Macaca mulatta: one gene and its partners. The main gene of each other region encodes a partner of the protein of the gene in region 2 in a complex. Links are inferred from orthologs where the notes say so. Each region holds a gene or a part of one and is shown on either strand. Other genes may lie near its edges. The genes, in order: STK11, CAB39 and STRADA.

Evidence for each region.
Region 1: the proteins of CAB39 (region 2) and STK11 are in contact, whole or in part, in a crystal structure (PDB 2WTK), measured with the Homo sapiens proteins. The link is inferred for Macaca mulatta from reciprocal best matches to the Homo sapiens genes CAB39 and STK11. Residues at the interface, in NP_001124321.1 of Homo sapiens: Gln109, Gly111, Thr112, Lys196, Leu197, Leu238, Asp239, Arg240, His241, Phe243, Met246, Ile250, Val280, Ala283, Asn284, Pro285, Glu317, Gln318; in NP_000446.1 of Homo sapiens: Gln100, Arg103, Arg104, Glu165, His168, Ser169, Gly171, Leu201, His202, Pro203, Phe204, Ala205, Ala206, Asp207, Asp208, Phe234, Arg301, Ser307, Arg310, Lys311, Lys312.
Region 3: the proteins of CAB39 (region 2) and STRADA are in contact, whole or in part, in a crystal structure (PDB 3GNI), measured with the Homo sapiens proteins. The link is inferred for Macaca mulatta from reciprocal best matches to the Homo sapiens genes CAB39 and STRADA. Residues at the interface, in NP_001124321.1 of Homo sapiens: Leu26, Glu27, Lys28, Gln29, Tyr55, Gly56, Thr57, Asn58, Ala85, Asp86, Gln88, Leu89, Phe92, Glu93, Lys96, Arg107, Glu138, Leu141, Ile145, Ser176, Thr177, Phe178, Asp179, Ser182, Asp183, Glu221, Asn222, Tyr223, Val224, Arg227; in NP_001003787.1 of Homo sapiens: Pro64, Leu104, Glu105, Cys107, Ser108, Asn109, Val112, Gln116, Leu119, His120, Lys123, Leu124, Phe125, Asn126, Thr136, Phe137, Ile138, Asp140, Asn141, Leu143, Tyr185, Met189, His223, Gly224, Arg226, Val426, Asp427, Asp428, Trp429, Glu430.

The regions. Positions count from the first base shown.
Region 1 is NC_133424.1:1,890,368-1,894,009, forward strand, and holds part of STK11 (serine/threonine-protein kinase STK11), read left to right. Parts: intron 1-563; coding exon 564-653; intron 654-1,909; coding exon 1,910-2,042; intron 2,043-2,117; coding exon 2,118-2,254; intron 2,255-2,749; coding exon 2,750-2,877; intron 2,878-3,471; coding exon 3,472-3,529; intron 3,530-3,642. UniProt on the Homo sapiens protein: Tumor suppressor serine/threonine-protein kinase that controls the activity of AMP-activated protein kinase (AMPK) family members, thereby playing a role in various processes such as cell metabolism, cell polarity, apoptosis and DNA damage response.
Region 2 is NC_133417.1:135,971,786-135,975,523, reverse strand, and holds the start of CAB39 (calcium-binding protein 39), read right to left. Parts: upstream 2,805-3,738; 5' UTR 2,606-2,804; exon of another isoform or gene 2,035-2,605; intron 1-2,034. UniProt on the Homo sapiens protein: Component of a complex that binds and activates STK11/LKB1. In the complex, required to stabilize the interaction between CAB39/MO25 (CAB39/MO25alpha or CAB39L/MO25beta) and STK11/LKB1.
Region 3 is NC_133421.1:73,535,031-73,538,772, forward strand, and holds the start of STRADA (STE20-related kinase adapter protein alpha), read right to left. Parts: upstream 2,650-3,742; 5' UTR 2,325-2,649; intron 2,134-2,324; exon of another isoform or gene 1,836-2,133; intron 1,062-1,835; exon of another isoform or gene 969-1,061; intron 1-968. UniProt on the Homo sapiens protein: Pseudokinase which, in complex with CAB39/MO25 (CAB39/MO25alpha or CAB39L/MO25beta), binds to and activates STK11/LKB1.

The DNA of each region.
Region 1 (3,642 bases), on a different chromosome or scaffold from region 2:
GTGGCCAGGGTCTGCCTGAGGCAGGCCACGCAGGCTGAATGTTGTGGGCCATTTTGGTCGTGGCTGAGCGTGTCCTTGTGTCATCGGTAGACTCCCCCCATGGGTCTTACGGGCACAGCTTCCCTACGGGGACTTTGCTTGAGGCCCTGTGCCCAGAGCAAGAGCAGAAGTGGTCCTGAGGCTGGGGCTGTGTTCAGAGTCACGCAGTCAGGGGCCGTGGGCCCCATCCTGTGTGGACCCGAGCCTGCTTGTGGGGGCGTCCAGGAGGTATCATCCCCCGCCCATGGGCGGGGTGGGGGACGTGAGTCCCGCAGGAACACTGCCCCAAGAGTCAGCCCTGTCCTCCACTCCCATGGAGGCTCCTTCCTCCCAGACGCTGGGGCCTTTTCAGAGGGGTGTGAGGGCAGGGTGGGCCCTGGTCCGAGGAGGGGCAGGGTGGGCCCTGGTCCGAGGAGGGGCAGAGTGGTTGCGGAGGGTCCCTCCAGAACCCCTTCTCTGGCCCCTGTGCTCTCCGGGCCTGTGAGTGGGGCCGCCCCCTGAGCTGTGTGTCCTTAGCATCCCACGTATATGGTGATGGAGTACTGCGTGTGTGGCATGCAGGAGATGCTGGACAGCGTGCCAGAGAAGCGTTTCCCGGTGTGCCAGGCCCACGGGTGTGTGCGCGGGGCAGGGGCTGGGGTGAAGCAGGGGCTGGGGGCCGGGCAGGGCAGGCTCCTTTCCCTGTGGCCACACGGCTTGTCCTGATCTTCATTGACATGAAGGCCCAAGTTTTTTATTTTTTTTGTTTTATTTTTTTTGAGACGGAGTCTCGCGCTCTGTCGCCCAGGCTGGAGTGCAGTGGCCGGATCTCAGCCCACTGCAAGCTCCGCCTCCCAGGTTTACGCCATTCTCCTACCTCAGCCTCCTGAGTAGCTGGGACTACAGGCGCCCGCCACCTCGCCCGGCTAGTTTTTTTGTATTTTTTAGTAGAGACGGGGTTTCACCGTGTTAGCCAGGATGGTCTCGATCTCCTGACCTTGTGATCCGCCCGTCTCGGCCTCCCAAAGTGCTGGGATTACAGGCTTGAGCCACCGCGCCCGGCCTTTTTTTTTTTTTTTTTTTTTGAGACGGAGTCTCACTCTGTCGCCCAGACTGGAGTGCAGTGGTGCGATCTCTGCTCACTGCCAGCTCCGCCTCCCTGGTTCACACCATTCACCTGCCTCAGCCTCCCGAGTAGCTGGGACCATGGTGCCCGCCACCACGACTGGCTAATTTTTTGTATTTTTAGTAGAGATGGGGTTTCACCGTGTTAGCCAGGATGGTCTCGATCTCCTGACCTCATGGTCCACCCGCCTTGGCCTCCCAAAGTGCTGGGATTACAGGCGTGAGCCACCACGCCCCGCCCTGTGAAGGCCCAAGTTTTTAAAAACAGTTTTGGGGACTCCTGTGTGTGGTATCCACGGGCAGGGCTGCTGTCAACCTCCTGCCTCCATCTTTGCTGGGCCTGCTGCCTGAGGCCGGCAGCTCACCCCATCCCGTCCCAGCAGCCACCTGCCCCGACCGGACCTCCTGGTACAGATCTGTTGGCTGCAGAGTCAGGGCCCCTTGCTGCTGCAGGACTGCAGGGGCAGGGAGGGGCCTGCTGTTTCAGCAAGCCTTTGGGGTGCAGCCGGCCTGTGGCCCACAGGGAAATGAGACCTGTGGACATCCGGGGCCCTGCCAGACGTGACTCGGCCGGATGAGGGTGGTCACTGCAGGCGCAGGCCTGGCTCCCTACTGGACCCAGCTTTTCCTCTGTCCTGTGTGCCTGGACCTCCGTGACTCCCCAGCTGGGCCTGTGGTGGTTGGGAGGCTCCCAGGCGGCTGCAAAGGGGACCCCTGTGAGGAACAGGGAGGCCTCGGTCCCAAGACAGGTGTGTGCTGCCCGCAGGTACTTCTGTCAGCTGATTGACGGCCTGGAGTACCTGCACAGCCAGGGCATCGTGCACAAGGACATCAAGCCCGGGAACCTGCTGCTCACCACCGGGGGCACCCTCAAAATTTCCGACCTGGGCGTGGCCGAGGTAGGCACGTGCTAGGGGGGGCCCTGGGGCGCCCCCTCCCGGGCACTCCCTGAGGGCTGCACGGCACTGCCACAGGCACTGCACCCGTTCGCGGCGGACGACACCTGCCGGACCAGCCAGGGCTCCCCGGCTTTCCAGCCACCCGAGATTGCCAACGGCCTGGACACCTTCTCCGGCTTCAAGGTGGACATCTGGTCAGCTGGGGTCACCCTGTAAGTGCCCCGGCCCCGCCCCGGCACTCGCCACACGCACAGCCCGGAGGGGCCTCTGCATCTTGGGCAGCTTCTGGCCTGTGGGTGCAGGGCGTAGCCACCAGCCTAGACCCTCGCTGACCACAGCCACTGGGGGTGCTTACTTTATGGAGACGTAGCTCACACGGCAGATGGTGGTTCACCCATGTGACATGCAGCCTAGCCTGTCAGGGATCTTCACAGAGTGTCACAACCAATCCTCCTCTCAGAGCCCCACAGGAAAGCTGGGCGGGTGAGAGTGGCTCCAGGCCCCTCCCCGGGTGGGTCCAGAGGACGCTCCTCTCTTGCCCCATGGCTTCCACTAGTGGGAGGCGGTGAAGACAGAGGTGTCCTTGAGTCCGCAGGGCCTGTGGTCCAGCAGCCACGCGAGGGCTCCGTCCCTGGGGCAGAGGTGGGGCTCCCGGGGCGTCGACCACCTTGACTGACCACACCTTTCTTCCCTCCCCTCGAATGAAGCTACAACATCACCACGGGTCTGTACCCCTTCGAAGGGGACAACATCTACAAGCTGTTTGAGAACATTGGGAAGGGGAGCTACGCCATCCCGGGTGACTGTGGCCCCCCGCTCTCCGACCTGCTGAAAGGTGGGGGCCTCGTCCCTCTGCCCACAGCCCCAGGGAGGCGGGGCTTTTGTGCAGAAATGCAGGGTGGGGGGTGTTAGGTGGGGGGCTATTGGCCCTGAGACCCCTGCAGGCACTGAGAGGACTGAGCGGAGAGGCCGGCCTCCCACTAGGGCCTGGTTTGTGGGTCCCTCAGCTCCACCCTGCTTCTGGGCCCTGTTCACCTTTCAACTCCCACCCCTGAGGGCAGTGCTGCCCTGCGCCTCCCCCAGCCCCGCCCTCGGGGGCTCCCTGGCCTGTGTCAGGCTCGTCCTGCTGCACTTCCTGTGTGTGGGCAGCAGGTGGCACTGGCCGTCTGTCCGTCTGCCCAGTGGCCTTGGGAGAATGGAACTGCCCTGCCTGTCCAGCCCAGCCCTGTCTCCCAGGCAGGCACGCAGAGGCTGTCCCTGGCCTGTCCCCTGGAGTCGCCTCTGTCAGGGAGGCCATCTCAAGGGGGCCCCCCTTGGGAGCATCCAGGTATCACCTGGGGCCTGACAACAGAGGCTGGTCAGGTGGGGATGATTGGTGGGGTCTCGGGCCTGTGCCTGGCTGACTGGCTCCTCGCCGGCTTCTCCTCAGGGATGCTTGAGTACGAGCCGGCCAAGAGGTTCTCCATCCGGCAGATCCGGCAGCACAGGTGAGCGGCCCCTGGGGGCAGTGGGGCCAAGACCACAGGGAGGCTGGCCACGTGTGCAGCTGGTTGAGTGGGCACCAGAGCAGGGCATGGTGGGGGTGCTGGGCTGGGGCCAG
Region 2 (3,738 bases):
CAAAAATTAGCTGGATGTGATGGTACAAGCTTGTGGTCCCATCTACGGGAGGCTGAAGTTGGAGGATGGCTTGAGCCTAGGAGGTTGAGGTTGCAGTGAGCCGTGTTCGCACCACTGCACTTCAGCCTGAGCAACAGAGAACCTGTCTCAAAAACCAAAACCAAGAAAGCAAATACCACCCATTTGTTATAGTATCAAACCATTTCATGAAATATTCTATGCTGATATCCAGCCTGAATCTTCGTGTTATCATGGTCAAAAAATAGTTACCCTATATGGATGGCCCTAGTGTAGAGACTATTTTTCAGGAGCGAAGTGGGAGGTAGGAAGGGACACTGCATCGCCGTCTGTGGGGGATGGTATACCAGCCATGATCATAATCTTTTGACAGCATCCTTTTAGAAGTCCATTCACTCCTATAGCAGAGATCTGTGTGCTTTCTTCCTCTTCCATACCTCATGACAACACACATGCTGCCAATAAAAACTTTATTCAACAAGCAAGAGGATCCAAGTCTTACAGAGAAAGTAATAAATGTACTTGAAACAAGAAGCTTTTAGAAAAAGTTCTGTCCACACTAGTAGTTATTAAGCGTAACTACTGCATTTCATCTGACGTAAATAATACAACCTTGTCAGGAAAACATAACACGCTTAAAAGATTTCCATTCCTGAGTAAAAATTTTTTATCTAAAGATATTTAATGATAAGAAAAGCTTAGGGATATGTGTGTGTATACATATGCATACAATATATTTCATTATGCAGAGAAAAAATACACAGAAAAAGACTGGAAAGAAAATACGCGAAAATGTTAACAGTAACCAAATCTAAGTGGTAAGATTATAGAAAATGTTATAAAGATTTTCTAGTAATCCCTGAATTTTGCAAGCTTTGACAAAGATCATGTATTATTTTGAAACGTAGAAAATTTTTAAACTGCAAAAAGGTGGCATTTGAATGCTTACAAAACTTAGGCCCTAAGCTGCTTTCACAGATTGTATATTCTAGATTTCAAATACAGCTGCTGATTACTTCCTAGCAATTTGAAGAAACTACAAAATAAAGCTAAACACTTTCACTTCTGGCTCTACTATAAAGATCTCGCAATAAAATAAAAATAAAAACAAAGTTTTACCTTTCTACAAAAAGGTCTACGTCCGGTTTTCTACAGAATATTAGTAACTATTTTTAAAAAATCGTCAATTTGTTCTTTTACACAAATGCCACCTCAAAGAATGTAGGTTTAACTTAGTAATTCCAAAGTACAGACGCCTAATACAAAGTGCAATAAGTTTTTATGCATTTTAGCGAACGCACAAACAGAAACACCTTCTGTGTGCAGATGAGCTTATTTTATATACACCTTTTCATTACCTCTTAAGAGCCTGACATCTAATGAAGCTTTCTGCAAAGGTACTTTGCTTAGCTTGGGCATGGATTTACTTGAATATCTGGGAAGCTGTCAAAATCGATCTGAAACTGCATTATATTCAAGGCACAGAATGTCAACTCCTGACTGGGCCTCCTTCTCTCTTCTTTCACAAGAGCGCCTTTAATATCCCCTAGCCTACATTTCCGGGCTCATGAGTCACTGAGAAATGAGCTCTAAGTTTCTCTCAGAACGCTGCTCAAATAGCTCCTCTACAGCATTCAAGGATCTGGCCCCAAAATACCTCTTTAGCCCCATACCCCCCGCCCCCTGCACCACGCCAACAAACGGAATTATCCATGATTTCCAGGCTTTGTCTTCTCGTTTTTGCTGCCCCTTCCACACATCTCTTCTGCAACCCTCCTCTCCTAAATCCCATCAGGCCTTCAAGACTCTGCTCAGCACCCCCCGCCCAGGACGCCTTCCAGGTTTCTGCTAGGCAGAAGTGATCGGTTCGGTTTTTCCGGGTGCCCTTCCAGCACTCTGTCGTTCTTTCACAGGACTTATCACCTCCTTCCCGGTATCGCAGTTATTTGTGTACTCGTCTTATCTCCCACACCAGAGCCTAAGCTCCTCGGGGGAGGGGACCGGGGCCCGCTTCACCTTTGAATCCCTCCGGCGCGGGTCGACTACGGCGCCTGCACGCAGTCTGCGCTCCGGGTGATTCCACTGAACTCGAGAACGCTCCGACCGCACAATTCCTAACCAGAAATCAGTTAGGCATTTTCCTGAATTGATCACAACGCTGGTATCTGCCTCCCGACAACAGGAAGTTTACCAGGGGCGGGAGCGAGGCGCCGGAGTCCGGGTGCAGCCGGTGACAGTTGACCCGGTCCGCACTTCCCCGCCCTCCCGACTCCGGCCCGGATCACCCCGAGCCGCCAGCCCCGCCTGAGAACCACGGAGGGGGCGGCAGGAGCGCCTGGACCGCAGGCCCCCGGGAGCCCCACGCCGGCGAAGGCAAAGGGAGCGTCTCAGCGAGGGCTGGGGCCGAGCCGGGAGGAGAGGGCAGGCCGGGCCCGGCTGCTCCCGCTGGCTCCGGGGCCCAGCTGGGCCGGGGCCGCCGCCACCCAAGAAAATGGAGGCAACCCCGGGGCCGGTGAGGGCCCGGCGGGACAGGCGGAAGCCGGGCAGCCGCCGCACCACGAGCAGGGCCGGGCCGGGGGTCACTCACGGGGCTGGGCCAGGCGTTCCCTTCTCTGCCTCCGCGTCGTCGCCGTCGCCGTCCTCGGCCGCCGCCGCCTCGGGCTGCTCGTTCGGTCCCCGCGGCGTGGCTCGGACGCTCGGCCCCTCCGTTGTCTTCCGCCCGTTCCTGCTCCCGGCGACGGGCTCCCGCGGCGGCGGCGGCGGCGGCTGCGCGGGCGGACGGCGGCCCAGGGGCTCCCGCGGCTGCCGCCGCGCTGCTGCGTTCACTTGGGTTGCCGCTGCTGCTGTGGGGCCCGGCGCCGCCTTAGTCTTCGTCTGTGCCCCCGCCCCGGCGCCTGAAGGTTCTGTGTCTCCCAGGCCGCGCCGCTCCACGATCCCCTCGCCCAGCCCGCGGCCCGAGCCCGGCTTTGACGTGCGCACTGCGCAGCCGCCGAGGACGCGACGACGGGCGGCGCCGCAACGCCCCCTTCCGCCTTGGGCGCCCCCGAGCGGCTGGCGGACTCAGGGCGCCGCGAGTTGGCGCGAGGCCCGAACGGGAGGGGCCGCAGAGAAAAGCACAAGTCAACCCCCGCAGTTCCTCTTCCTCCGCCGCAGCTTCCAAGGCGGGGCTCATCCCCTTCTGTTCCGCCTGAGCGCTCTTCCAGCGGGAATCGCACGCCCACTTTGAACGACCACTTCCTCAACTCTTCAGGCTTAATTCTGCGAAAGGCCTGGATCCCACTTTGTGCAGACCGATTCTTTCTTGCTTGCGAGGAGCAGATCACTTCATTTTAGCTTCCAGGGGCACACAGCATAGAAAGTGCCGGAACGTTCCAGATTAATGGGAACATTCCTATTTAAATCAGCAACCTGGATTTACATCCTGCTCCACCATTTGCTATCTATGGGCTGTTTCACATCCTTGTGCCTGGATTTCCTCACACGTTAGAAAAAAAAGAGGTATATAATAATATAGTGGTACCAGCCACGGGCTTCTGAGGATGAACGGGACAGTGCATTGCAAAGCTCTGACAATGGAGCCCGGCACATACAAATGCCATATGTGTGTATTTTCGTTTATTTTTAATGTGTAATGAACTAGTTTTTAATGTTTAATGAACTATTTTTTTTAGCGCCTCCTGTACGCCAGGGGGTGGGGCAGTGAGCGAAACAGTCCCTGCT
Region 3 (3,742 bases), on a different chromosome or scaffold from region 2:
TTATGTTATATAATGTATACATATATGTATACATAATATATTATGTATATATCACATATGCAACATATATGTATTAATATGTATATTATATATGTACATATATACATATTGTATAATATATATGTACACATATATGTATGTGTGTATATATATTTTTTGCAGACAAGGTCCTGCTCTGTTGCACAGGCTGGAGTGCAGTGGTACTATCATAGTTCATTGCAGCCTTAAACTCTTGGGCTCAAGTGATCCTCCCACCTTAGCCCCCCAAGTAGCTAGGACTACAGGTACGCGCCACCAAGCTCGGCTAATTTTTTTAAATTTTCAGTAGAGATGAGGCCTTGCTATGTTGCCCTGGCTGGTTTCAAACTCCGGAGCTCAAGCAATCCTATTGCCTCAGTCTCTCAAAGTGCTGGGATTACAGAGGTGGGCCACAGCACCCAGACTATCAGAAACATTTAACACTATAATTTAACACTATATATGTGTGTGTGTGCATACACACACACACACAACAAAGCAATATTACTAGTGGACAGATATAGAAACAGCTTTATTGGCGGGACGCGGTGGCTCAGCCTGTAATCCCAGCACTTTGGGAGCCCGAGGCTAGTGGATCACCTGAGGTCAGGAGTTCGAGACCGGCCTGACCAACACGGTGAAACCCCGTCTCTACTGAAAATACAAAAATTAACCGGGTGTGGTGAGGGGTGCCTGTAATGCCAGCTACTCGGGAGGCTGAGGCAGGAGAACTGCTTGTACCCAGGAGGCTGAGGTTGCAGTGAGCGGAGATGGAGCCATTGCATTCCAGCCTGGGCCACAAGGGCGAAACTCCATTTCAAAAAATAAAATAAAAATCAAGAGAGAAAATAATAAACCCAGCAAACATTTATGGCAAACTTTCTACGTGTCAGGCACTGTGCTAAATGCTTCATGAGCAGCTCACAAGTATTATCATCTCTGTTTTACAGGTCAGGAAATTAAGGTGCAGGGAGGTTAAATGCCCAAAGTCACACAGGTAAGTGGTAGGGACTAATTAAATCTGTTCCAAAGCCTGTGCTCTAAAAACCAGAGTAAACTTCCTCCATTTCTGGGGCCACAACCATAAACACTGCATTCCAGCCAAAACACCTCTAAGAAATCTGATTAAAAAGTAGGGGACAGATTTGACCAGTTTAGCACTATACCTAAAGGCTGAATTCACAGGCTTCTAGGCCGGTGATCAAATTTGGTTTCTTCCTTAACTCTCAGAGACAAGAAACAGTCCTGGGTGTCTTCAGAAAGGTATGAGTGTCAATGAAGAATTGTCTTAACGTCGCATATACGTATTGGAACATGCTTCTACTTGAACAGATATTACAATAAGAAAAGGGCAGATTCCAACGGCTTTTTCTTCGAGGAAAGTCAAGTTAAAGTATGTTAGGATACAGGAGAAGGCTGGGCAGAGAGGTTAGTTCCCTATTTCCTGAGAGCTATGAACAATTTTACCTACCCAATGCCCTTCCCTCGAACTCTCTTCCTTACCCCCAACCCTCAACCCCCAACCCCCATCTCCGGCGCCCATATCCCCTGCAGTCACTCAAAAAACATTTTTGGAAAACAAAAAGACAATGAGCTCTTCGTTTAGGCCGATTCTGGGAGCCATCTGTATCTTGTGTCCTTACGAGGACTTGACCTGCTGCCTGTCAGCCCGGGGTGCGCGGCGGCTGGGGAGAGCGGGGAGTTCAGCACCGGAGTCGGCCACCACTCTGCCTGAGCAGGACAAACCGGCACCCAGCCCTAGGTTCCCCACCTGGAAGCCCTGGGGGGTGGGGAGGAAGGGGAAAGCAGGAGCTCGCCTCTCTCGCCCGGGAACTCCGCTTCAGCGTCTCCCCGCCAGGCCCAAACCTATTCTGCTCTCGGGCTGCGGCGCCTCATTGCGGGAGTCGAGGACGCGGGTTAAAAAGGGGGCCCGTGGAGGGTGAGGGTGAGCCCGGGATGGCCGCTCCGACGAAGGCCCGGGCCTGGGGAGATGGAATCGGTGGCAGAGCGAGGAGGGACTGGCCCCGGCGGCTCACCAGGCACCCCGCCAGGCAGGTACCTGTTCCTGGAGTTAGCAAGTAGCCCCGACCGTCTTGGCTCCGCCTCCTCAGTTTTACGGCCGCGCCGCCGCCAGGCCGGTTGCTGGGAGGGGAGTACGCAACGTGCCATGCGCAGTCGGGCGACCGGGAGGGCGGATAGAGCGCCCCTCCCCTCCCCTCCCCTCCCCTCCCTGCGGGGAAGCCCCGCCCTTCCGAGGGGCCCCGGGTGCCGCCGGCCTCAGCAGCTGTAGCGCTGAGAGTTCTCACCTCTGGTGGTCTTTTCCGTCGCGCGGCGCTTCCGCCTAGAGCCTCCGCCGCCGCAGCAGGAGGGGGAAGCAGGTGGCTTCAACAATGAAAGACCAGAGAAAGGCAAACTTGGCTGTTCCTGGGAATTGTTTTTTTCTCATTTCATGTGGTAGGACTTCTATGGGAAAACCTGCCTCGCACTTTTCTCAAATGCCCCTCACTTTGGCCTTTCGGGCACCAGACAACAAGCTGCAAAGGGGGAAGTCTATCCGTTCTTTGCTCCCCACTATTTGTAAAACGAGGAAAATAGCTCAACTAATGAAAACGATCATCTTGTCCCCTCTGTATCTTGCCCCCACCCCGGAAGCCTTCCTCATCCACAGCTGAAGCCGTTTGTGGAAACCTATCAGGTTTGTCCAAGCCAGGTTATGCAGAGCTTGAGAAATGAGGAAGTGATGGACTAAGCCCCACTCCTGTGAGACTAGGTTTTTCAGTGACTTACTTAACCCCGCGTGCGCAGGAGAGGGTGTCCAAAACGCGGATATATACCATCAGGTAATGAACACTCGCTCTTCGCAGCTCTGAGCCTTAACACAGATTTAGACTGTCCTAACTTCCAAGACTGGGGAAGTTTAGCTACATCCAAATAGGGACTGATAGAAATATGCTCCTGGAAGGCCGGGCGCGGTGGCTCACGCCTGTAATCCCAGCACTTTGGGAGGCCGAGGCGGGTGGATCACGAGGTCAGGAGATCAAGACCATCCTGGCTAACACGGTGAAACCCCGTCTCTACTAAAAATACAAAAAAATTAGCCGGGCGTGGTGGCGGGCGCCTGTAGTTCCAGCTACTCAGGAGGCTGAGGCAGGAGAATGGCCTGAACCTGGGAGGCGGAGCTTGCAGTGAGCAGAGATCTTGCCACTACACTCCAGCCTGGGCGACAGTGAGACTCCGCCTCAAAAAAAAAAAAAAAAAAAAAAAAAAAAAGAGAAAAAGAAAAATATGCCCCTGGAATTGTGGGACCTGTATGCACATGAAGTCTCATTTGATCTTACATATATCACCTTTTTTTTTTTTTTTTTGGTGGTGGGGGGATGGAGTATCGCTCTGTCGCCCAGACTGGAATGCAGTGACGTGATCTGGGCTCACTGCAAACTCTGCCTCCTGGGCTCAAGCAATTCTCAGCCTCCAAAGTCGCTGGGACTACAGGCGCATGCCACCATGCCCAGCTGATTTTTGTATTTTTGGCAGAGATGAGGTTTCACCATATTGGTCAGGCTGGTCTTGAAATCCTGACCTCAGGTGATCCACCAGCCTTGGCCTCCCAAAGTGCTGGGATTACAGGCCTGAGCCACATCACTTTGATTTTATCGAGTGCTTTGACATTGCTAAGGGCTACCCTCACATGCTCTCATTCTCAAAAATAAGATGCCACTCTCAG